Linked DNA regions of Diceros bicornis minor. The protein of the gene in region 2 purifies or fractionates together with the protein of the main gene of each other region. This does not show direct contact. Links are inferred from orthologs where the notes say so. Each region holds a gene or a part of one and is shown on either strand. Other genes may lie near its edges.

The links.
Region 1: the proteins of FOXN2 (region 2) and FBXW11 purify together in Homo sapiens (affinity purification with mass spectrometry; 3 studies listed by BioGRID and IntAct, counting the BioPlex papers as one, with this or other methods). This does not show direct contact. The link is inferred for Diceros bicornis minor from reciprocal best matches to the Homo sapiens genes FOXN2 and FBXW11.
Region 3: the proteins of FOXN2 (region 2) and BTRC purify together in Homo sapiens (affinity purification with mass spectrometry; 3 studies listed by BioGRID and IntAct, counting the BioPlex papers as one, with this or other methods). This does not show direct contact. The link is inferred for Diceros bicornis minor from reciprocal best matches to the Homo sapiens genes FOXN2 and BTRC.

What each region holds. Positions count from the first base shown.
Region 1 is NC_080740.1:85,984,141-85,991,484, reverse strand, and holds the start of FBXW11 (F-box/WD repeat-containing protein 11), read left to right. Parts: upstream 1-4,270; 5' UTR 4,271-4,379; coding exon 4,380-4,424; intron 4,425-7,344.
Region 2 is NC_080751.1:37,249,417-37,256,429, reverse strand, and holds the start of FOXN2 (forkhead box protein N2), read left to right. Parts: upstream 1-3,928; 5' UTR 3,929-4,001; intron 4,002-4,198; exon of another isoform or gene 4,199-4,335; intron 4,336-4,524; exon of another isoform or gene 4,525-4,627; intron 4,628-7,013. UniProt on the Homo sapiens protein: Binds to the purine-rich region in HTLV-I LTR.
Region 3 is NC_080745.1:66,481,117-66,489,016, reverse strand, and holds the start of BTRC (F-box/WD repeat-containing protein 1A), read right to left. Parts: upstream 3,084-7,900; 5' UTR 3,007-3,083; coding exon 2,959-3,006; intron 1-2,958. UniProt on the Homo sapiens protein: Substrate recognition component of a SCF (SKP1-CUL1-F-box protein) E3 ubiquitin-protein ligase complex which mediates the ubiquitination and subsequent proteasomal degradation of target proteins. Recognizes and binds to phosphorylated target proteins.

The DNA.
Region 1 (7,344 bases), on a different chromosome or scaffold from region 2:
GGTACATTGATGAAAAGAGATCTCATTGAGTCCAATATTTCGAATTGGTTCTTTTTTTTTTTTTGTGCCTCTACTAGTATCTATTGCTGTATAACAAATTAACTCAAATTTAGCAGGTTAAAATAAGCAACATTATCTCACACAGTCTCTTGTGGGTCAGGGATCCAGCAAGGGCTTAGACAGGTGGTTCTGGCTCAGGGTCTCTCATTAGGTCAAGATGCTGAATGGGGCTACAGTCATCTGAAGGCTTGACTGGGGCAGGAGGAGCCACTTCCAAGATGGCTCACTCACAGGCCTGGCAAGTAAGTGCTGGTTGTTGGCAGGTGGCCTCAGTTCCTTACTATGTGGACATCTCCAGAGGGTTGCTTGAGTGTCCTCAGGATATGGCAGCTTTCTTCCCCAAGTAACCCAAAAGAGAGAGCGGTGAGGAAGCCACAACACTTCTTATGATCTTGTCTTGGAACTCACACCCTCACATCTGCCATATTCTCTTAAAGTTTAATACAAAGAATTATTAATTAGTAACAAAGTACTAAGTACTAAGTGGTAAAGACAACTCTAAAGAATACAGAAATAGCAGTTATAGGGAGCGGCCTGAGGCAGAGTACCTAAGGAAGCAACAAACTTGGAAGAGCCCGGCCACCCTCACTGCTAGGCTGAGATTCAGACTTCCTTGGAGAGAGGGTAGTTATGGCCCACTGGATGGTGAAGTTTGCTATGCTACAGATCGGGGCTGGCAAGCAGGAAACTGCCTGCTGAGGTGCCACTGAACTTGGTGGGAAGCCACCCTCTGGACGTCCCAGCCACCCGTGTGGAAGACAGGAGGATACAGTTCTGCAAACCATTTGGTGCCGTGTGCCACAAAGGCAAGAAGGACAAGAAAGTATACTGGAACCAGGAAGAGAATACTCTTCATTCAGCTGTGTTCCTCTAGAGCTCTCTATTGACAAAGTTAAACATTATGCCAGCTGGCAGAGGATAAATAAATACTGGGTTCCACTCCAGTATTTCAAAGCACGGAAAAGAAGGATGGATTTGGAGCTGAGAGGCTATAAATTAATAACAGGTGCACATATGTTCCGCTGCAGGAAAAACAATGCATTTGGTTATGCAGTGCTGTCCTAGACCCCAGTGGGAGTGTTACATTTTGTATACAGTATGTGCCCCATACTGCCTTTGTATAATCTAAACGATTCTGAATTCTGAAACATATCTGGACCTCAGGGTTTTGGTTAAGGGATCATGGACGTGTACCACTTCATTGTTAGCATGTCTTGTAAACCCCAGTGCAGAGCTATCTGAAAAACTGGCGGGAAAATATGCCTCAAAGTCTTCTGCCTTTATCTATGACCAAATCTTATCACAAGCTAGCACCAAGTGTAAAGCAATAAAAATATCTGAGCACCTATTTCTTGTTCGAGAAGAGGAGGGAGCACAGTGATAAGCCTCGGTTCAGCTTGCTCCTCATAGAGCTTGGTTAAACCTTCTACTATACACATGGCTTTTTAATCCCACTGAGCTCCTGGAATCTAACCCAATAATACTAGTATTTTTTCCTCTGAAGGTGGGATATGGTTCTAATAAAAGGATAGAAACCTTGAGTTTCAAAAAAAAAAAAACAACACCTTGAGTTACCTCCACTACAGTTCCAATGCCAAAGGCTGCAAACTCAAATATCTACATGGGTTAGGCGCACAACTTAAATGAACGAAGCACACAGTTATAAGACAACAGGGAGTGATGGTGACAGTGGAAATCTACCAAGTACATGCTTCGTATAAAGAAGGCAGTTTCTACTTAACCCCTGCTTACTGTTGCCATGCAGATCCAATATAGTCAGTCTAATTTTTCAAGAGAAGCTGGAGATTCAGATTTTAAAATGTGAAACTGTCAATTTTTAAATCAATAAAAAAGATGGTGTAGGATGAACATACATATTAGGGGATCATATTCAGCTTGTGACTCCTACCCCAACCCTATGTGCTAAGTCCTGTGGCAAGTACTGGGACCTTAGAGGTAGGTGTTGGTTGGCTGTTACAGTGGTGGTCTCTAATGAACCTCGACTCTCTGTATTCACAACCTTGTATAGTCCCTTCCCACATTGACTCTGGGCTTGCCCATGTGACTTGCTTTGGCCAATGGGACATTAGCAAGTGTGGTGCAACCAAAGGTTTGATAAGCATTTGCTCAATGAGGCTTGTCCTCTCAGAAGCTAGTCACCATGCAGAAGTTTGCATGATACGAAGCCAGGTGGAGAAGAGAGGCCCTAAAGGATGAGAAGCTGTTTTCATGAGCTCCCAGCTGACTGAAGTCCCATGAGTAACCTCAGCTTATACTATGTAGGCCTAGCTGAGTCCAGTAAACCCACACAATTGTAAAAAATAATAAACCACCGTTATTTTAAGCTACTAAGTCTTGGGGAAGTGTATTATGATGCAATAGGTAACTGAAACAGAGGTCATTAATTCTATCTCCTTTGTTTTACTAATGAATGTCCCAAGGCCCAGATAGGGGAAGGGGTCTGGTGAAATTCAGACAGCAAGTTAGTGGCAGTAACTTGCCAATTCTGTGCTCTTTCTTCCTATTGGTTTTTTTTCAATTCCCTTGGTGGAAAGCACCAGACAAGGACAATGAAACTTCAAACTCTACGTGCACGGAACCTACACTATGTCCTGCATGCATACAAATTACTGTAATAACTTGGTCCTTGGAAATGGAAAGATTTCTAGGCCATCTAGTGCCCTCACTTTACAGGTGCAGAGAATGCAAACAACTTGAGAAAGAGAAAAGCAGCCTCTGACATCTGGAAGCTGGCCTGGTACAATCAGCCAGGCTGTAATGTTACTAGATGATAGCCTGGCCTCTGTTGAACATAATTTCACAGAACATAAACATCAGATGAGGCCATTCTGTGACCATGATAGATCAAGACCAAAACAAGATCCCTCTTTAATTATATTTGAACACAGATAAAACATGAACATTGTCCAAACCACAAAAAATGACCAAACATCCCCCATCATGGCTAATGAGGGGCTCCTGCTTCTCTACCAATTACAGTTTCAGCCTCAGTCTAGTATTCCCTCCTTCCAGGTAAGATTTTTTGAGATGCCCAATCATAGAATTACCCCCACTGCCTGACAGCATCTAATCTCGAGTAAAGCCCCACTTCCTTAAACCCTCTCCCAGATCACCTCACAACTCTTGCTGAGATGCCCCAGGTTCCTCATGGTGTGTGTTGTCCCTCACTGCAACCTGTAATAAACGCAACTTGTTCAGCTATCAGTGTGTCCCTGGTGGTCTTTGGTTAGAGGGCACTGACAGACCTGACAAAGTTCACACAGAGTTGGAGGCAGAATTCATTAGAAGGAGTCTCCAGGTCTCCAGCTGTGTTCCTGCTCTTTTGGTTAATGTCTGTCTTCCCCCTACCAGAATTAAGCTCCATGAGAATAGAGGCCTTGTCTGTCATGTTCAGAACTGGTACCCGGCAGAGGCTGGAAGTTTAACAAATATTTTCCGAACGAATGAATGAGTAAGAGGGGCTCAGTATACACAGGTTCCCTTTCATCTCTCAACTCCTCAGTTCGTGGTGCATACAGACAGAACCACAGTTCACCTCCATAAACCTCTTCTCCAGCTAATCTGTAAACCCCTCACTCCTGGGGTGCCCAAACTCGCAGAGCCTCCTCCCTCGCCCGAGCTTCTCTCGCTCGCTGGCCCCCTCTCACACCTGAGCCCCAAGACCATCCCCTCCTAACGCACCTGGAACCCATCTGTCTCCAACACCTGTCCCTACCACCAGGCGCTCGCGGATCAGCCGCGCCGCTACATAGGCGTCATGTGGGCACTGCGGTCACCAACGGCGCATGTGCGGAAATCGGACGCACACGCAGGATCTCTGACAAGTGAAGAGGTGCCGCGGAGTTTCCGTCCCGGTCTGGGTAGCCTAGGGCTGCCAGGAAGTCAGGAGAAACTAGCCGGAAGGAGAGCCCGCGCGCATGGCTTTCTGGGATATGTAGTCATGGCGCTTTCGAGGTCCTACCTTGAGGGATCCTTTAATCCTTTAGGTTTGCACGTCCCGCATTCGCAGTCCCGTGCTACTTTCGGCTCAGAATTCAGCTTCTGGCTACCAGGAGAGATTGGCCTAGTGTCGGCTTCTCGTTCCCACAACGCTCTGCGGGGCCCGCGGCGCCTGCTGGGAGCTGTAGTCCTCGGTCTGCGTACTGCGTTCGCCGAGGGGGAGGGCGGAGCTGCCGGCGGCCCGGGCGGGCTGGCAGCTAGAGTGGGTGCGATAGCCGCCTCCGCCTCTGCCGCCTCCGCCGTCGCCTCCTCCGCCCGGGCCGTTCGCTGCTGCGCGGGGAGAGCGAGGCGGGGCCGCCATGGAGCCCGACTCGGTGATTGAGGACAAGACCATCGAGCTCATGGTGAGTGCGGCCCGCTGGACCGTCCGTTCTTCCGTCCGTCGGGCCCGGGGCGGGCCTGCCCATCTCAGCGTCCGGCGCAAGGCCAGCCCTGGCCCTTCCCCGCCGCCTCGGCCCCGATCTGGACCCCCCGCCTTCCCTGGCCTCGGGCCCGGCGCGGTTCCTCCGGATCCCTCGAGATCTCAGACCGGACCTGGCCCGGCCCCCTCCATGCCCCTCGGTTCTCCTCCCTCCCTCTGTCCTATCTCCGGGCCCATCTCTCGAACGACCCTCGCTCGCTTATGCTGTGGCCTTAGCTCCCCCTCGCTCTAGCATCTCATTTTCCTTCTTTTAGAAGGGGATTTTTTTCCCCCCTATTTCTCCATCCCAGGCCTGCCCCGCTCTTGGAAGCCCCACTCAGTCCGAGTGAGATGGTGGTGGGAGGGGGTACGGAGGAGATCGGACAGGGCCTGGGCCTCCGCGTCCTAGTAGGGGTCTCAGCACCCTCTCCCCAACCCAGGGCTGTGTGGATGCCAGGATAGGCCTACAGGGGTGGAGGTGGGGAGCTCTCGGGTTTGAGGCTGTGACGGATAAGAGGCCTTTTTCCCGGGCCCCTGTGGTGTCCGGCTACTTGGACAAAGGGTTTCCTAGTCGCCGAGAGGGATGTTTGCATAGCAAGGCCCCAGGTACTCTGGATTCCATCTCCCCGCAAAGCGAAACCGTCACTACACGTTTTCCAGAGCTGTTTTGGGAAATTGAGGAAGAAGGGGGAGGGGTGGTTCTCATCACTGCCGCCAGTTCTTTCTTCTTACCAAAAAAAAAAGAAAGAGAATTCTAGGCCCCTGGGGAAGCGATCACTCTTCTGTTGGAAACCATTGGTAGCCAGGCCAGACTCCCTGGCCCCACGGAAACCCCAACCCCCTTCCGCCTTAGGACTTGGAGCCAGAAGGGGTTTTTAGAAACAGGACCATGAGAGAGTGGCTTGTAGAAGCGAAGAATTTGCTACTTGGTGAATGATTTGCTGGAAGAAATAAAAAATGGCAGCTATGACCTGCCAATTTGAACATTAGGGAAATCAAACTGGGCTCTGGAGAGTTAGGAGGAGGAAGTCTTTGCCTCAGCAAATGGACATGCCCAGGGTTTCTTCCTGTGGAAACCTTGACAGTTTCTTTGTATCTCTCCTGACATAGTAACAACTTCTACCCTAGGCTTGAGAGGAAAGGTGAAAGAATCTACTTAACCCAGCGAAATGTTTTCCTAGCCAGATTTTCTCCAGTATGAAAATGTTTATTGAGTCAGTGATTCCACTGGGTAGGGTCGGTGACATCAGAGCCAGTTCCCCCATTTAATGCTATAAATAATAAATGGTGACACTGAAAGTCTGTTGGAAGCTGCATGGTTTCTGTGGATGATGGTATCTGGGGAGTTAAGATGCATGTTTTAGAAATGGAAGTACAGTAGCATCAATACAGAGGCAGGTTAATATTTGCTGTCCTTTGCATAATTCACAGAACTAGGCTTTTCCAGCATTCTTGAAAACTAGGAAAAAAAACCTCTGGTAGTTTCTGATTTGTGTGTCTGTGCATGCATGTGTGGTTGCTTTCTAAGGGATACTGTCACTTGTGAGTTTTTGGTTTTCATTCATTAAGTAATTTTTTCTTTTCAGTATAATTTATCAAACTATTATTGTAGTCAAGCCTGATATTCTGCAAATTTTGTAGTGGGTTATTTTAGTAAAATACCTTGAATGGAATGACATATATAGTACATGTACTTATAACAGGAGGAGTACTTCACATCGAAAAATTGTAACTTGGTACCTCTTTGAAATTGGCTGTTCTGTGTTCCTTCCATTTCCATTCATTTAAAAAATAACTAAAATGTCTTTATTTTCAAAAGAGTTAGAAGTGCAATGTACTCCATTTAGTGTCTTTGAGTGTATGGTAAAAAAATCTATGGCCTACGTTTACTGGCTTCCTATGCTCATAACTTAAAAAAGTTTTGATTTTACATGATAGTACTTGTCTATGATCTGAAAAGATATTTCAAGGGCGTAATAAAGTGAGATTCTTAGAAAATTTAACAGAGTTTAGTGGTTATCTAGATCAGTTTTAAAATGGCTTTTCAGCGGCCGGCCCGGGGGCGCAAGCGGTTAAGTGTGCGCACTCCACTGCCGCAGCTTGGGGTTCGCCAGTTCGGATCCCAGGTGCGCACCGACGCGACGCTTGGCAAGCCATGCTGTGGCGGCCTCCCATATAAAGTGGAGGAAGATGGGCACGGATGTTAACCCAGGGCCAGTCTTCCTCAGCAAAAAAAAAAAAAAAAAAAAAAAAGAGGAGGATTGATAGATGTTAGCACAGGGCTGATCTTCTTCACACACAAAAAAATAAAATGGCTTTTCATATGCAGATTTTGGTATTCCCTCAAAGGGATACCAGTTAAGACTCTTAGGCAACCCTTTTCATAAATGTATATGTATTTTAGTGTCGTAGATAGCACAGGTACTTAACAAGTGATGTAGTAAATCTAGCATCAGATGTAGGAATGATAATACCTTAAAATCGAATTGCATGTGGTTTTCTGTGCTCACTGCATTTTAATTACTGTTTCCAGAACTAGGTTAAAAATATTTTTTTATATTGGTTTCAAAATAACATGATTGAAGGAGGGGAGGGGGTTAAACTGATGGCATTTTGAAAGCCTAAAGCATGAAATATTTTTAGATTTTTATGAGTCAGCTTCAATACTCAAATATTTGTGATTGTGCTGCCTGTACCAGTTTGGTACTTAATGGTTAACAGGATAACTTTCATTTGATATTCTAGAGCGGGCTGTATTAAAGAGATGAAACAGACTTCTTGGGTATCTCCAATTTCTTAATCTTCATCCTTCTACTCTCTTTGATTTTGATTCTTTCTCCTTTTCTTTTCCTTGTACTTTTTTA
Region 2 (7,013 bases):
GATTTTAGCAGTTTTTTCTTGATCTGTCTTTGTGTCAATTGTGTGCATTTTAAAAACATTTTATCCTGCTGGGATTCATTTGTTCAAATATTATTTCTTCCTAATACTGTCTTTTCTTTTTTCTTCTGGAATTCTAGTTATGTGCATATTAAACTTTATCACTGTATCTTCTATGTACTTTCCCTGTATTCTGTATTTTCCATCCTTTTTCTTCTTTGTGCTTCATTCTGTGTACTATCTTCTTACTTATCTTCTAGTTCACTAATTCTATCTTTACCTGTGTCTAATATGCTGTTATACCCATCACTGAGCTGTTATTTTCAGTTAGTGAATTTTTGGGGTCTAAAATTTTCATCTGATTCATTTTTCAGATTTTAATTATCTGCCTAAATTTTTAATCTTGTGTTTTATTTATGCACAGTAAGCATTGTTATTTTTAAATCTGTGTCTGATAATTTCACTCTCTGAATCCCTTTTGGGTCTGTTTTTGTTCTCTATTGTTTCTGCTGTTTTTCTTGTTTCTTTGTGTGACTGATTATTTCTTACTGTGTACTAGACATTGTATTTGCAAAATTGTTTGTGGAAATGATTTAAGGCCTAGAATATTACTTTACTACAGACAGGATTTTAGTTTGCTTCTGCCAAGGGCTTGGGGGCATTAGCTCAAAGGAATTACCCTAATCCAATCTCAGAGTTGAGATGATTTGAAACTGAGATGTCATCCTTTCACTTCTAGGATGTAGCCATTTGGCTTCCTCTTCCAAAGCAAGGTAGCTTTGACAGAGTTCAACAGAGCAACCCTCACTGAAAGGATAAATGGACTTCCCTGGGCCTCTATCATTGCTCAGATCATGGCCTGGTAATTACTATCGTATTAGCTCTCTGGTGCCTTTGAGCTGATATTTTTTATATTTTGCTAAGTTGTTCTAGTGTACTCAGCAGGAGGACTTGTCCAAATTATTGCCAATACCAGGGAGTATAGAAACATAGATATTATTAATAAAATATAGGTAGTTATTCTTAAGAAGTGCATTGAAAAAGATCCTTGAAGGAAAAAAAAATTAGACTTTCATTCACAATTTCACCTTTTAACCCAAGCGGCAGACCAATATTTAGAAATGTTGTATCCTAGTCCTGGCATCACATAATTTGAGGAAAGTTACTTCTTTTATTAACAAATATTATTGAACATCACCTCTGTCCCAAAAGCTGTTCTAAGAAATTAGACTATAAAGATGCAAAAGACACGGTTATTGACCTAAGGTGCTTGAAGTCTACATTCCTTATTGGTAAACTGGTTATTTTTGGAATCATTAATTTATGATCAAAAAGTCTTTTGTTAAATATTTGTAACACAATGATAAATACATTTAAAATATAAATATGTATATTTGAGCTCCTATCACCATTCAGCCTAAATATGAGGGCATTTTAAACTATATATATAGTTTAAATATATATATTTTTTTAACTGTTTAAACTATATATGTATATAGTTTAAATATATATATTTTGTGTGTGTGTGTGTGAGGAAGATTAGCCTTGAGCTAACATCCATTGCCAATCCTCCTCTTTTTGCTAAAGAAGATTGGCCCTGGGCTAACATCCATTCCCATCTTCCTCTATTTTGTACATGGGATGCTGTCACAGCATGGCTTCACAAGTGGTGCATTGGTCTGCGCCTGGGATCTGAACCTGTGAACCTTGGGCCGCTGAAGCGGAGCACCTGAACTTAACTGCTACACCACTGGGCTGGCCCTTAAATAATATATTTTTAAATGCATTTGTCTTCCAGTAAAGTTTACTATTGAATACGTTCCTTTAAAGTATTTTGGAGAAGGAAGAATACAGGCTTCATAAGAGATGTTAAATACCAGGATCTTCTTTTTCCTAAAGACTTAAGCTCTGGTTTCCTAGCCTTTTTACTTTTGAAAACTCCTGGGAAAAGTTACTCATTCTGAACCATCATTATTTTTAATCAGAACTTTTCCTTGGTAGGTGTTCAAAGTCCTCTAAAATAGCCTCTAAGTATACAAGTGTCCCTGGACTCTAAACTAAGTGTGACAGATTTCCTAGGAGATGTGAGCCTTACCCGCAGAGATTATTTAAACATGCCCAGCCTCTCTGTGGTAAATCAGTCAATAGAGATGACCAGTAGAGGGAATTTAGGTTGCAGTAGATTCATTATTTGACCTTGGACAAGTTATATATCTTTTCTGGATTTGTTTTTGCATCCATGATAGATTGGGCTCCTAGATGATATACCTCTAAAGTATACATAGCTTCCAGTTCTCAAATTCTGTGATTCTTTTAGAGTTGAGGAGGACTGTTTGCCCACCTGAGTTTAAAAGAGTTTAGAAGGAAAAATAGAAACTAAAGTTCAATATATCAGGTAAGATATGAGTACAATAATCTGCAAGGAGATGAAGACCTGTATTATGTTAGTGGCCACTCTGACAGTGGCCAGAAGAGATAAAACAAGACTGAGGTCTGAGGAAGCTGTGGCTCTCCAGAAGCCACTTTCTCTCACTATTCCCTTCCTTCTCTCCTCTGCTCCCTTTCTACTACACTCTTCCTCCAGGAACTTCCTTCAATTTGTCCACATGAGGGGGCAAGGGTGATCGCTGTGAAGGGAGAAAATAAAGCAACTCTTACTTCAGTTGAAGCACAGTGTACATTTGCCTTGTGGTCTTTTACTCTGAACGCAGCTGTGAGGCCCTTCAGGACAGTGTAATGAAAAACAAATAGAACTAGTAGATGATGTTGGATAAATCATATAAATGCGTTTTCATCTGTAGAATGTGGGTCGAACACTTCCATTTTTGTTTTTATATATTCTGACGCCTGTAATTCTTGTATATCTCTGTCATCCCCACAGCTTTATTATCGGCAGGCAGCCTGTTTCACTCAGCTCACTTTATACTCAGAGCCTGGCACATAGTGAATATCCAGTTAACAGTCATTGTTCAGGAAGGAAATGAACTTCTGTTAGCACCTACAATGCATCAGTCAAGTCTCTTTCATACACATTTTCTTTTAATTCATTCAACACATTTGTGAGATAGGTATCACCACTCTAGTTTTTAAAGATGTAGATATAGATATTCAGAGACTTAACTATCAGGATCATAGTGATAGTAAAATGGAGGCTTAGTTCTGCCACTTACCTTATATTTGACAGGTTATTTTTCTAAGCCTCAGTTTCCTTACCTGTAAAGTGGGAATTCTGTAAGTTAGTATAGGGTTGGTAGATTTAGCAAAAAACAAAAAAAACAAAACAATAAAACAAAACAAACGAGGAAGTATATCTCAAATGGAGCATTCTTATATTAAACAATTATTCTACGTTTATCTGAAATTCAGATTTAACTGGGCACTCCTGTATTTTACCTGGCAACGCCATCTTAGCATTATGGTTATGAAAATGCATGTAAAGGACTTAGTTCCGTCCCTAGCACTTAGCGAGCGCTCTGTAAATGCTATACTTATTAAATTTTGGATCTGATTCCAAAGTCCTTTTTTATTACCACAAACACGCTGAACTCAGTTTCCAGATAAAACTTCAGTCAAGAGAGGGTAATAATACTTTAAGTTTACATTAGTGCTTCACCGTTCCTAAAGCGCTTTCAAAGCCTGGCCAACGGCGGAAAGCGCTTGGGGAAGCCCACAAAAGCTGGGGCTTCACTGCGCTCCCAGAACAGGCACCCGGGGCCGAGCGCCCCGGGCGACTACTCTCGCCCCGCCCCGCTTCGCCCCGCCCCCTGCCATCTCGGCCACTCAGAGGCCGCGCCGCGCCCCGCCGCACTCCTATAGGTCGTTCCTGGGACAGGCGAGGCCTTTCCATTTTCCCGCCTTCCCCAGCCTGTCAGCCTGAAACCGGCTAGCCTACAACGTCTCCGCCCTGCCTTCCGTGCGAGCCCCGCCCTTCCGGACACCGCATCCCCCTTCCTTCCCCACCCGCTGTTCTGGGCAGCCTGCGGGGTCCCGGGCCCGGCCCTTCGGTAGGAGGTGGGAGGGGAGGGGACGGGGCGGGGCGGGGCGGGCCGAGCCCCCCTCCCGAGGGGTCGCGAGAGGCGGGGACGGGCGGGAGGGGCGGGGCTAATCTCCTTGGCGCCGCGTTGCCACGGCAGCGGGGGAGGGCGGGGAAAGGGAGAGGAAGCGAGCGGGAGGGGGATGTGGTGCTCCGCGGCCGCCACCGCAGCTGCCGCTGCCTGCTCGGTGCCGCGTCTCGCCGGAGGCGGCTGCTGGAAGCCGCCGGAGCAGCTGTGGCGCTCTGCCATATTGTGTCTTCCCCTGCCCGTCCTTCGCCTCCCCGCTGCGGCGGCCGAGCTGACGGTGAGTCGCGGGCGGAGCGGTGCTCTCCGGGGCCCGCGCCGCCCGGCGTTCGCGCTCCCCGCCCCGGCCCGCGGCGCCGCTCCCGGGCGCGGAGGCAGCGCGTGCGGCCGGCGCCGGGCGTGGGGCGCGGAGGCGGCCGTCCCGTGACGCGCCCGGACATTTTTGTCCCGTGAGGAGCTGGCGCCGGCGCGGAGGTCTCCCTTGCGCGCGGCTTGAGTCGTGTGTGGGCTCCCGGGGCGTGTCGACTGCGGGGAGGGCGGCCCCGTGAGGAGTTGGGAGTTTTTCCTGAGAGGTAATGACCGCCCAGGAGCGGTGTCGCGCGGCGGAAACCGCGGCGAGGGGTGCAGGTCTCCGGGAAGGCTCGTGACGCTTAGGGCTCGACTCGGGGCGGGTCTGCTGTGAGGGGAAGTGCCCCAAGCCCCTCGGGAGGCTTTGCAGCGCCCCCTCCCCCGCCTGAGTGCGGCGACACTTGCCGGGCGTGGAGTCCTGGTCCGGCCCCAGGCGGACTGGCTGGGCCCGGCCAGGTAGTGCCCGGGGAGGCGCCGAGCGCGGTCGGGACTGAACTTTGAGCAGCGGGGCGGCGGGGCGCAGGGGTGGACAGGGGCGGGTTCCGGATGTGGGGTGGCCGACCCCGGCACCCTGCGGCCCCTCCTCCAGCGGGCGCCCTGGGGCCTCCGAGGGTGGCTGTCTTGCTGGGGTGGGAGTTAGTGTTTCAGCGCTGCAATATGGACACTTCCTGTTCGCCGCCGCTCTCGGGCCCGTGGGTGCCTCTGCCCTTCATTCCTCTCTCCTGGGAGGGTGAGAGGTCGTGAGGGCGTGTGGGAGGTCCGCAGCCTTCTGAGTTCGCCCCACCGCCGCAGCAGGGAGTCTGGAACCCGGGAGGACGGCGGGAGTCCGGGGAAAGCGGCCCATGTGCGTGCTTCTTCAGCCTCCTGTTTTACTCAACTCTACCCCCTTGCAGAATGCCTCTGTTTCCACCGCAGCTCGCGGGAGTTGGGGTATCTAATTCATTGGGGCACACTCTCGGGATCTTCTTGGACCTGATTTCTGCTTTAAAGTTTCTTTAAAACAGCCGCTGTACTTCGTTTTCTCCTTACAGGAAAAAGTCGTAGCGTACAAAGAAATGACACAGATTTTCTTTCTTCTACCCCAACTCTGAGGTTGGAGGAGGAAGTCGGTTATTTATTTCCAGGATAGTTTCTGCTGTTTCTCCTGTCTTCCTTGTGATTGTGACAGCCACGTGGCCGGCTGAGTGTAATAGAGTGCCCTAGCGCCGCTAGAGCTGAGGCGTCACTGGTAGCCAGGGGCTTTGTAACCGTGCGGTAGCTTTGCATCCAGATTTATTTTGGTATTTTTTCAGATGGGGAAGTGGAAAAAGCTGAACTGTTCATGTCTATCTCTGTTCCATTCGAATTGTGAGACGTTTCCTTGCAGTCCTTGTAAGGTGTATATTGACATTTTTGCCTTCCTCTGCCGTTTTGATGGTTCATCTTTAAAATCTCAGCAGTGTTAGGTACCACTAAGGAGTGATGGAGACTAGAGTGTTACATTATGGAGTTTCCTAACTCTGGGAAAAAATCTTTTGAATTTCAGAACCCTTAATGAGAGGTTCTAATGTAATCAGAAACAGTCACATTCTGGCGGATTTCTTTTTGATAGTTTTATAAAAATCTCAATTTTTTCTTTTTATATAAAAATTGTGACCTGAAAAGATATAAATATATTATCAGTGAAAATACTTGTTTGGGGATGAAATAAATACTCGTTCGATTTGTATGTGTGCACTTTCTTCAGCTTTTTTGGGGAAAAGTGTTAATAGTTAACATGTATGTTAACATGAACAGATTGTATTTTAAGGTAATGAAATTTAATTTTTAGAATATATCAAAATAAAAAGTCAAAGGATCAAAGCTAAAAAATCTAAACTTTTGGGGAGTTTGGAAATTTTTAGAATTTAAGTACATATACTCCTTCGTTATTAAATGCATCGTGTTTCCTTTTGTGAATGCTTTGATGGATTTGAATTATTTCTGTAACATTTTAATTTGAATCAGTTTTACTTGAAGAGTGCTAAATCACAGGAAACATTTAGAATGTGTAAAAGAACTGCGTAGTTATAGCAGCACCATTTATTAGAATTTTAATTACGCCATAACAGTGGTTCCCAATCAGTGAAATTAATAGATAAAAAGATTGGAGAGGCTTCAATGTGGAAAAGATAATTCAGTTGAGAAATGAGTACGTGTGCTGACCACTGAGAGCCATGCTTAGTTGAGACAGAAAAGTAAATGAGGTGACAAAGTACTTATATAAAGCAGGAAGCACAGAAAACATATGCTGGAACGTAACTACATTATTAGTTATGGGATCCAACTATCAAAGGAAACTAAAAAAGATCATCCCAACAGGACTTAGTCTGATTCTTATGGCAGCTTATTGCTTAGCTACTCATTGTATGTGTGTGTGTTGCTTTTAGATTGTTATTTTAGTAACTGGATTTTGTGTAAATGCAAAGATCCTCTAAAATATAGTTTTGAGGACCCAATGCTTTGCTGATTTTTTAGGGAAGAAAAAGAGGTTTAAGATTTGATCCCTATTTTCAGGTTGAAGAGACAAGATTAATACACGTGAAAAAAAGTTTACAGTGTGCGAGGATATAATTAGGAGTTAAATTGTAT
Region 3 (7,900 bases), on a different chromosome or scaffold from region 2:
TACAGCAACTAGAAGGATGTGCAACTATGACGTACAACTATCTACTGGGGCTTTGGCAAAAAAAAAAAAAAAAGGAGGAGGATTGGCAATAGACGTTAGCTCAGAGCCGGTCCTCAGCAAAAAGAGGAGGATTAGCACAGATGTTAGCTCAGAGCTGATCTTCCTCACACACACAAAAAAATAATAATAATAATATCATTTGTGTCTAGAAGTTAAACCTCCTGCTTAAACTATTTTTCACAAGTATGCAAGGGTAAACTTTAAGCCTAGAGCATGTATGAATTATGTTCAACTCGGAATTAGTAGTTCCGAGTTCAACTCGGTAGTCTCATTAATAAGATTATATTGTAAAATTCCTAATCAAAGCACCATATTAATGTGGTAATGAGAAAAATTCATGAAAGAGAATATCCACTACATGTTGGCATTTTAAACAAATTTTACATTTTCTTAAACTGGAAATCAGGGTATCCGTACAAAAACTGCCATTCACAATTCACAGCTGAAGGAAGAGGTAAGGCCAAAACACAGGCAAATACTATACAAAAATTTCAACTTGATTAAAAGGATAGCCCTTCCATGTGTACTGTGCACTAATTACTTGGTGCAAGCACAAATAAAATATCTTCCTATCTCAAAATTGATTCTGAAGAAACCAACATGTTATAGCAGGGTAAATGGGACCAAAGGCAAGTTGTGACTTACTCAGATTCATAATAAGACTGTTACTGAGCTGAGAAAGAATACCAAATCTCTAACTCTCCATTCTTTGCTTCAGTTATTAAGGTGTCATTCTTGGTGACCCTCTTCACATTGGCCTTTTCTCAAACAGCAGCCACAATAGCAGGCAAGGTCAAAAATGAAAGTAACTAAAATTAAAGAAAAAATTGGCTTCTCCCTATGGAAACTGACTCAACATTTAATAATGTGTGGTGCCCTAAAAGCTGCAAACTACTACATGGCAATCTCCAGGTCCACTTTAACTCAGTCAGGAGACCATTATCGAAACATAACTCACTGGTACAAAGCAGAGATCAAGTAGTTGAGAACGTCCTAGGCTGAGGTCTAATGGGGAGTAAAGAAGATGATCTCATAATGTCTCTTTATGATCTGTAAATCACACATTATTCCATAAATCTGACACAAGTGTCAAGATTAGGATCGAGTCAGCCTTTAAACAGGAAAACAAAAATAAGCAGCTGCCACTTTTCTGACTTAAATCTAGAAGCTGGCTTGAGATATAAAGCAGCTTCTTCTTACTTCTGGAGTGCAAAAAAATTTCAAAGTCTCTTCTTAATATTTTAGAATTTCATCATTGGGCAAAAATTCAAGAACCTTCTTCAGGCCTAATGGAATTTTGTTAATGATACACTCAAACTTTAGTTAGGTGTTTCTGAAAGTACTAATACAAAATAAATAAAGTTTTAGTAAAAAAGTATTCTTGTAAATGGGGCAGTTTAAAGCCTGAATTCAATTAGGTTAGTGTCCATATTTATTTAGATTTGTTTTAGTATTTCAGGCAAAGATACAAAATAACAACTAACAAAGAAATAAGATTTAGAGTGACAAGTTACAATCACGTCTGAAAAAGCACGATGCAACTGTAAATAATATCAATGTCCCTGAGATCACCTGTTAAGATAGAAGTCTATGCATCCCATCACTCTTTAGCTGTAACCATAAAGTCTGGTTTTACACCTAGGATATACAAGAACCATCAGATCAAACACATCAAATATCAGACTATACAAACATAAGCATAGCAAAAGAAAAGCATGATACAAAGTTAAAGAACTAGGTTCCAAAGGATTTAAACACACCCACAAAATCCAATCCAAGCTCATACTGTGCTTCAACTTAAAACTGATAAGTAACCACCAATCTTGATATCTCCCATTCCCCACTATCTACATTCCCCCTTTTATCTCCTGAATTTCTCTACTGATCTCATCACTTCTTATGGGTCTTGCGATTCTAATCTCTACAGCCTTTCCTTTCCCAGAAAGTGATACAGCACCTGGGCCCCACATTTTACTAGCTCTACAATTTAGCAATAGTTTTGTTTTGTTTTCCCTATTAGATATGAATTTTGCCCCCAATCTCCTGTACCCAGGTTTTCCTGACCAATCCTCTTGCTTTTCATTACCTCGTCGGTACTACAATATTTAGCCTCTCCTTTCTAAGTAGAGTATGTATCCCTTTTCTGACATTTGTAATCCTGGCTCATGGTTAACATCCCTTTCCTTTCCCAGAGACTGTCACCATAGCCCTAGGTCCCCATCCCCAGTCCTTATCTTCCTAAGTAAGGCCTCTTCCTTTCCGGAGTTTGTCAACATTAGTTTGGCCAAGCTGCGATTGCATCCTGAAGGCAAAAGCTCTCTCTCCTCCGTCATTCTACAAAACTACAAGTCTCCCACCAGCCCTGGCTTTCTCTCCTCCACCCTTAGATCCACCTGCATCCAGCCCTGCCCGTTTTCCCCTACCCCTACTCGCAATATCTTTCCTCCCACTATCCCGCGCTCCCCTTCCCCACTCCTGAATGCACCTCTTTCCCAGGCCTTACCCGTAACCCTGACACCGAGAAGGCCCTGTCAGCGGCCTCACGGCGTCTCTCCTCCCGGCTTCCTCCGCTCTTCAGTAACTGTCCCCACGCACCTTTCACTCCAGGGCCCCGCGCGCCACCCAGAGCCCCCTCCCCGATTAAGCTCCCGCTGTCACTTGGCCTCTCATCCACAAGATGGCGGAACTGCTGCCCCCACCCCCGGGTCCTCTCCGCAACCTCCTCCCGCCTCCCTGGAGCTGCCGTCCCGTCCCGTCCTTTCAGCCGCCCCCGCCGCCGGTCTCTGCCCAGGGTCCCGCTGCCCGCTCCTCCGGCGGGTGGGCGGCCCAGGCCCGAGCCTCAGCGACGCTGCCAACGCCACCGCCTCCACAGTTTCCCGGCCTGCCCCTTCTCCTCACCATAAACTTGAGCGCTTTCTCCTGCAGCACCGCCTCGGCCGGGTCCATAATCGCCGGGGAACACTGGGTCTGCACTCCGCCGGGGCCGCCCCCTTGGTGCCAGGCCGCAGCCAACGCAGCTCCCGGATCCCGCCTCCTCTTCCTTCCCCCCGCCCTCTCTTACCTTTCAGGCACCGGCAGGGGGGCCAGGGAGGACCGGCTGTCCTGTGCGCATGCGTGAGCCCTCTGGCTCACGGGATTTGTAGTTATGGAGCTTCCCGCAGCAAAAAGTGAGTCCACACCGCGAACTGCAACTCCCGCAGTTCACTGCGGCAGGGTCGCGGGATCGAAAAGCCAAATCTAAACACTCGCCGGCAAGCAGAGATAATCAGCTGATGGGAATCGTAGTTTACAGCCTCTACGGAGCGGCACGGCTGTCTCCGTGGTTACCGAAAGACGCCAGTGACGGCTTGCCTGGTATTTGATATCGAGATGGCGACGAGTGCCTCACCTTAAGCCCAAATACTGGAAAAAACTGTGAAAGGACTCAGAGGTCCTAGCCCCTCCCTAACTGTGGTTTTAGAGAACTGGACAGCCCCAAATTTCATATATCTGGCGTCTGCAGGACGGATTTTGACCCAGAGACGCTGGGCCTATGGGCACCTGGCAGGACTTCGCAGACCAATGCAAAATTTCAAGGTCCTGCTAAGCCATTGCTTCACATTTCTCCCGAGGACCTTATTCTCCCCCACAGCAAGTCACGGCCAGATAGAACTCGGTTCCGGAAATTCTCGATGTTTAGCTCTCAGAAAGCATGACCTGCTACTGCTAACCCTGAGAAGTGAGCCCTGCATTAAATGTCAAACAAGTACTTACAAAAGGCCTTCAATGGTGGAATATAATCGCCATCCAGCAAATAAAGCATGTAAGTATTTAGTCTAGCCTTGAAAGGGACAGTACGAATTTATTTTGGAAATTAGGTCTACTCTAGGTGGAAAAAACACTAGGGTTGGGCTAAAAGTGATAGGCATGTACAAAATATCTGAATTTATAAAATAAGTGTATTAGGGAAATTCCTTTTTACTTATAGGGAAAATTTCCATTGTAAACTATTTTATTCATTCATTCGTTCAACAAACTAAGCATATAATTGTGTGCAGACATCATCCCAAGAAATGAGGATTCATTAGTGAACATGATAGACAAAGACTTGTGGAGCTTACGTTTCTAGTATGCTGATACTTTGTCCTAGTCATCCCTATGTCCACAGAACTCAGCAGAATACCTAATATATAACAGGCTTTCAGTTGATAAAAAGTCTTACTTTTTAATTTCAAAGAAAGAGTTCTACACAAGTACAAAATGGAGAAGACTTAAAGCTCATTCGTATGAAAACTACCTGGAAGTTTTCGTAGGATTAAGGCAGGATGTGACACTGTTGCCAAAAAAGCTAAAGGAGTCCTAGGCAGCTTGAAGAGCAATGTCTAGGGAATAGAGGCTTATGGTCTTACTGGAGTACTTTGTTCAGTTATGGGCACCATGTTCTACAAACATCATATGCAGGGTCATAGCCAAGGGCAGGATAACCAAGAGAGAAAATATTGGTGGATGCTTACTCTGAAAAAAGAGCGCTTAGGAATAACACGACAACTAAATTTAAGTGTTTGAAAGTATTGAAAGGCATATGTATGTAGCTCCAGAGGGCAGACTCGGACCAGTGGGTGGGATAATGATGACGATGATAATTATCACTTCATTAGCTCTTTGTGCCAGGCACTGTATTAGGCATTTTGGCTTCATAATCTCTAATATTCATAGTAACTCTGTAAAACAGGTATTATTATCTCTAATTTACAGATGAAGTTAATGGGACTGATAGAAGATAAAGGGCCGGCCCCGTGGCTTAGCGGTTAAGTGCGTGCGCTCCGCTGCTGGCGGCCCGGGGTTCTGATCCCAGGCGCGCACCGACGCACCGCTTGCTGGGCCATGCTGAGGCCACGTCCCACGTACAGCAACTAGAAGGATGTGCAGCTATGACATACAACTATCTACTGGGGCTTTGGGGGAAAAAAATAAATGAATAAAATTAAAAAAAAAAAAGATAAATAACTTGCTCGAGTCATACAGCAAATTACGTAGTCAGGATTCTAACCCAAGTCTGCTTGACTCTAAGGCCTGTGCTATTTTCACTGAAGCACACTGCAGTGACATAGTACTCAGACTCAGAGCTTTCTAGTAATCAGAGCTGTCCTGACAAAGGAAGGGACTGCCCCATTCCTGAAAACATATAGAGGAAAACCATCTATCAGGGGTATTTTCTAGGGGGTTTCAGTTTGGGTGGGAGGTTAAGATCTTTTAAACTTTAAGATTCCATTCTGTTGAGAAGTCGTTTGTTTTACTTTGTTATGCATAGAGGAGTATGAAAATATTGACTGTTGAGGCTGGCAGTCAGTGAGGGTCCTCACTTTTTCTGGTCATGTGGAGGTAAGGATTAGTAAGGCAAATACAAGAAGTTATTGTTTAGAAGCCCAACCAGCTAGACAGTTCATATGTATACAGATTGAAACTGAGCAGGCAGGGGCTGGGTACAGAAAGGGTAAATCCTCTTTCTTGAAAATTGACCACTGTGGTCAAACAAACTGAGAAATCCAACTATGAATTACCTGTGAAGTCCCTCATATCCAACATAGTTTAGGAAAGTTTATTAGACTAGAAGTTGAGGCCTGGTTCTAGCCCATCCTTTCTCTAGTTAATTGGTTGACTTTGGGCAATTTAACTGGACCTCTTTTGTCGTGTGGAACACAAAGATCTCTGCCAACACTAAAATGGGTGCACCTCTGAGCCGACTTAAAGCTTAGTTGCTCAAGGAGAATACTGAATCATTAGAACCTTTAAAGCTCCACTTTACTGGAAAACTAGATTTCCAGCGTGAGAAATCGCAGCTACTATTGGACTTAATTTCTTCCCCTAACTTCCTAGTGTAAGACCACAGAGTACTCTGACTTATCCTTGTCTATTAGTGTCTGTATCCAGCCAGTAATCTATCAAAATGTCTCTTCCAGCCTCCACCGCCCATGGTAGCCTGTTCCGGACTCCCTTCATCTTTTTTTTGCTTAGTTCACTATATTCACCTCCAATCCAGTTCTCTGACTCCAGGCTCTCTCTGTCCTCCTCATCTGATAATCTCTTTTAGATTTCACTTTCATCACATTTCTTCACTGCTCAATCCTTTTATGTCTCTCTTATCTACTTTATCATTGTTTAAATTCCTTTGTCTGGTCTTCCAGACCTTCTTAATCTTATCCAATCCTCTCTCTCCCGCCTTACTTCCCACTTTGCTTTAATACACCCCTCTGCTTCAATCAGGCCTTTCTCCCACCCACACCTGCTCAGCACATTCCTGCCTCCTGGCCTTGGCTTGTGGGAGTCATTTTGCCCTTCTAGAAGACTTCCCTTTCCCCCTCTTTTCTACTCGTGTTTCCAGGTCTGATTTAAATCTTACTTTAAAAAAATAGTTATCTAGTTATTTATTCCCTTTTAGCGCCTTAGCCTGCTCCCTTTTCCCTCCTCCCATAGGCAATGTTTATCTTTTTGTTTGTATGGTTCTTGAAAAATAGATATTGTTTTGTGTGCTACATTTTTAACTCACAAATGTAATATTGTTTTATGTATCTCATTATGTTTCATACTTTTTGCACCCATTACCTATGGTTTTAAGATCCATTCATGTTGCTATATATGTGTACATATAACCGGTTGCTTCTAACTGCTGAGTAGTAGTCTGATGGTGTGTACCCCCCATGTTCTGCCTATCCACTGTCCCAGCAAAACTTCCAGTTCCCAATTACCCCCAATAATGCTGCAGTGATCAACCTCCTGCATGCCCCCCTGAGTGAGAATATCTTTGGGAATACATACCCAAGATCATACTTGCTGGTTCATAGGCTATGGAGGACACTTAATTGGACTATGTAGTGGCAAATTGCAGTACAGAAAGACCACAACAGTGTACACTTCCACCATACCACTCCACCACACTTGGCATTATTGGGCTTTCCACTTTTTGCCAGTCTGTATGTTTTACCTTCTCTAGGCAACCCCAACCCACAAGGATCATGCCCTTCTTTAAGCACACTACTCTGCTCTTCTACCCCCCATCTCCGTAGCATGTGATTATAACACATAGCAGGCCAGAGCCAGAAATATTCCATACATGCCTGCACTTTTTTCTCATCCCATGGCATTCCCTTTTCCTATACCTAGTGGGGTTCTCAACCCTGATTGCACAGAGGAATCATTTGAGGAGCTTTATGAAAAATATTGATGCCCAAGCTCTACCCCCCAGGTATTCTGATTTAATAGCTTTGTGGTAGGCCCTTGGCAATGGTAATTTTAAAAGATCTCCAAGTAATTCTAATCTGCAGCCAGATTTGAGATCACTGCCTTGGAGTTTAGATGCCCAGTGCCTTCTTGCTGACCTCTAGCTATCCAGAGTCTCCCTCCGTGCCCATCTTGCCTTCCAAACTCTAGAATTACCGCCCCCCCCCAAAACCCATCTATTTTCCAAGGATAGCCAGTCGAAGCTCAAGGTTGAACAGAAGCAAAGTGATTAATTGGTTTAAAACCCATCAACTATTTGAATATCTAATAGGCTTAATCCTAGGGTCAAGAGGTCCAATAGAAGTGGGAAAGGTTTTTTGTATTTTAATTGGCAGGAGAGATAATGTTTTAGTTGGAGGACTAAATAAAGAATTTTTCCCCCTTCCCCTCACTTCCTTCTCCTCATAAAAGGTCACGAGTCAATTTCCTACTTCTTTGCTGGCCCTATTGGGTCTCTGTGTTCTTGTGCCTAAGTGTAAGGAGTCATTATTAACAGTGAACTGTGATCCAGATTAGGTTCCCTCAACAGAAGCTCCCACTGTCACAGGCCAAAGCCAACCATATCTGGATAGAGCACTCAGTC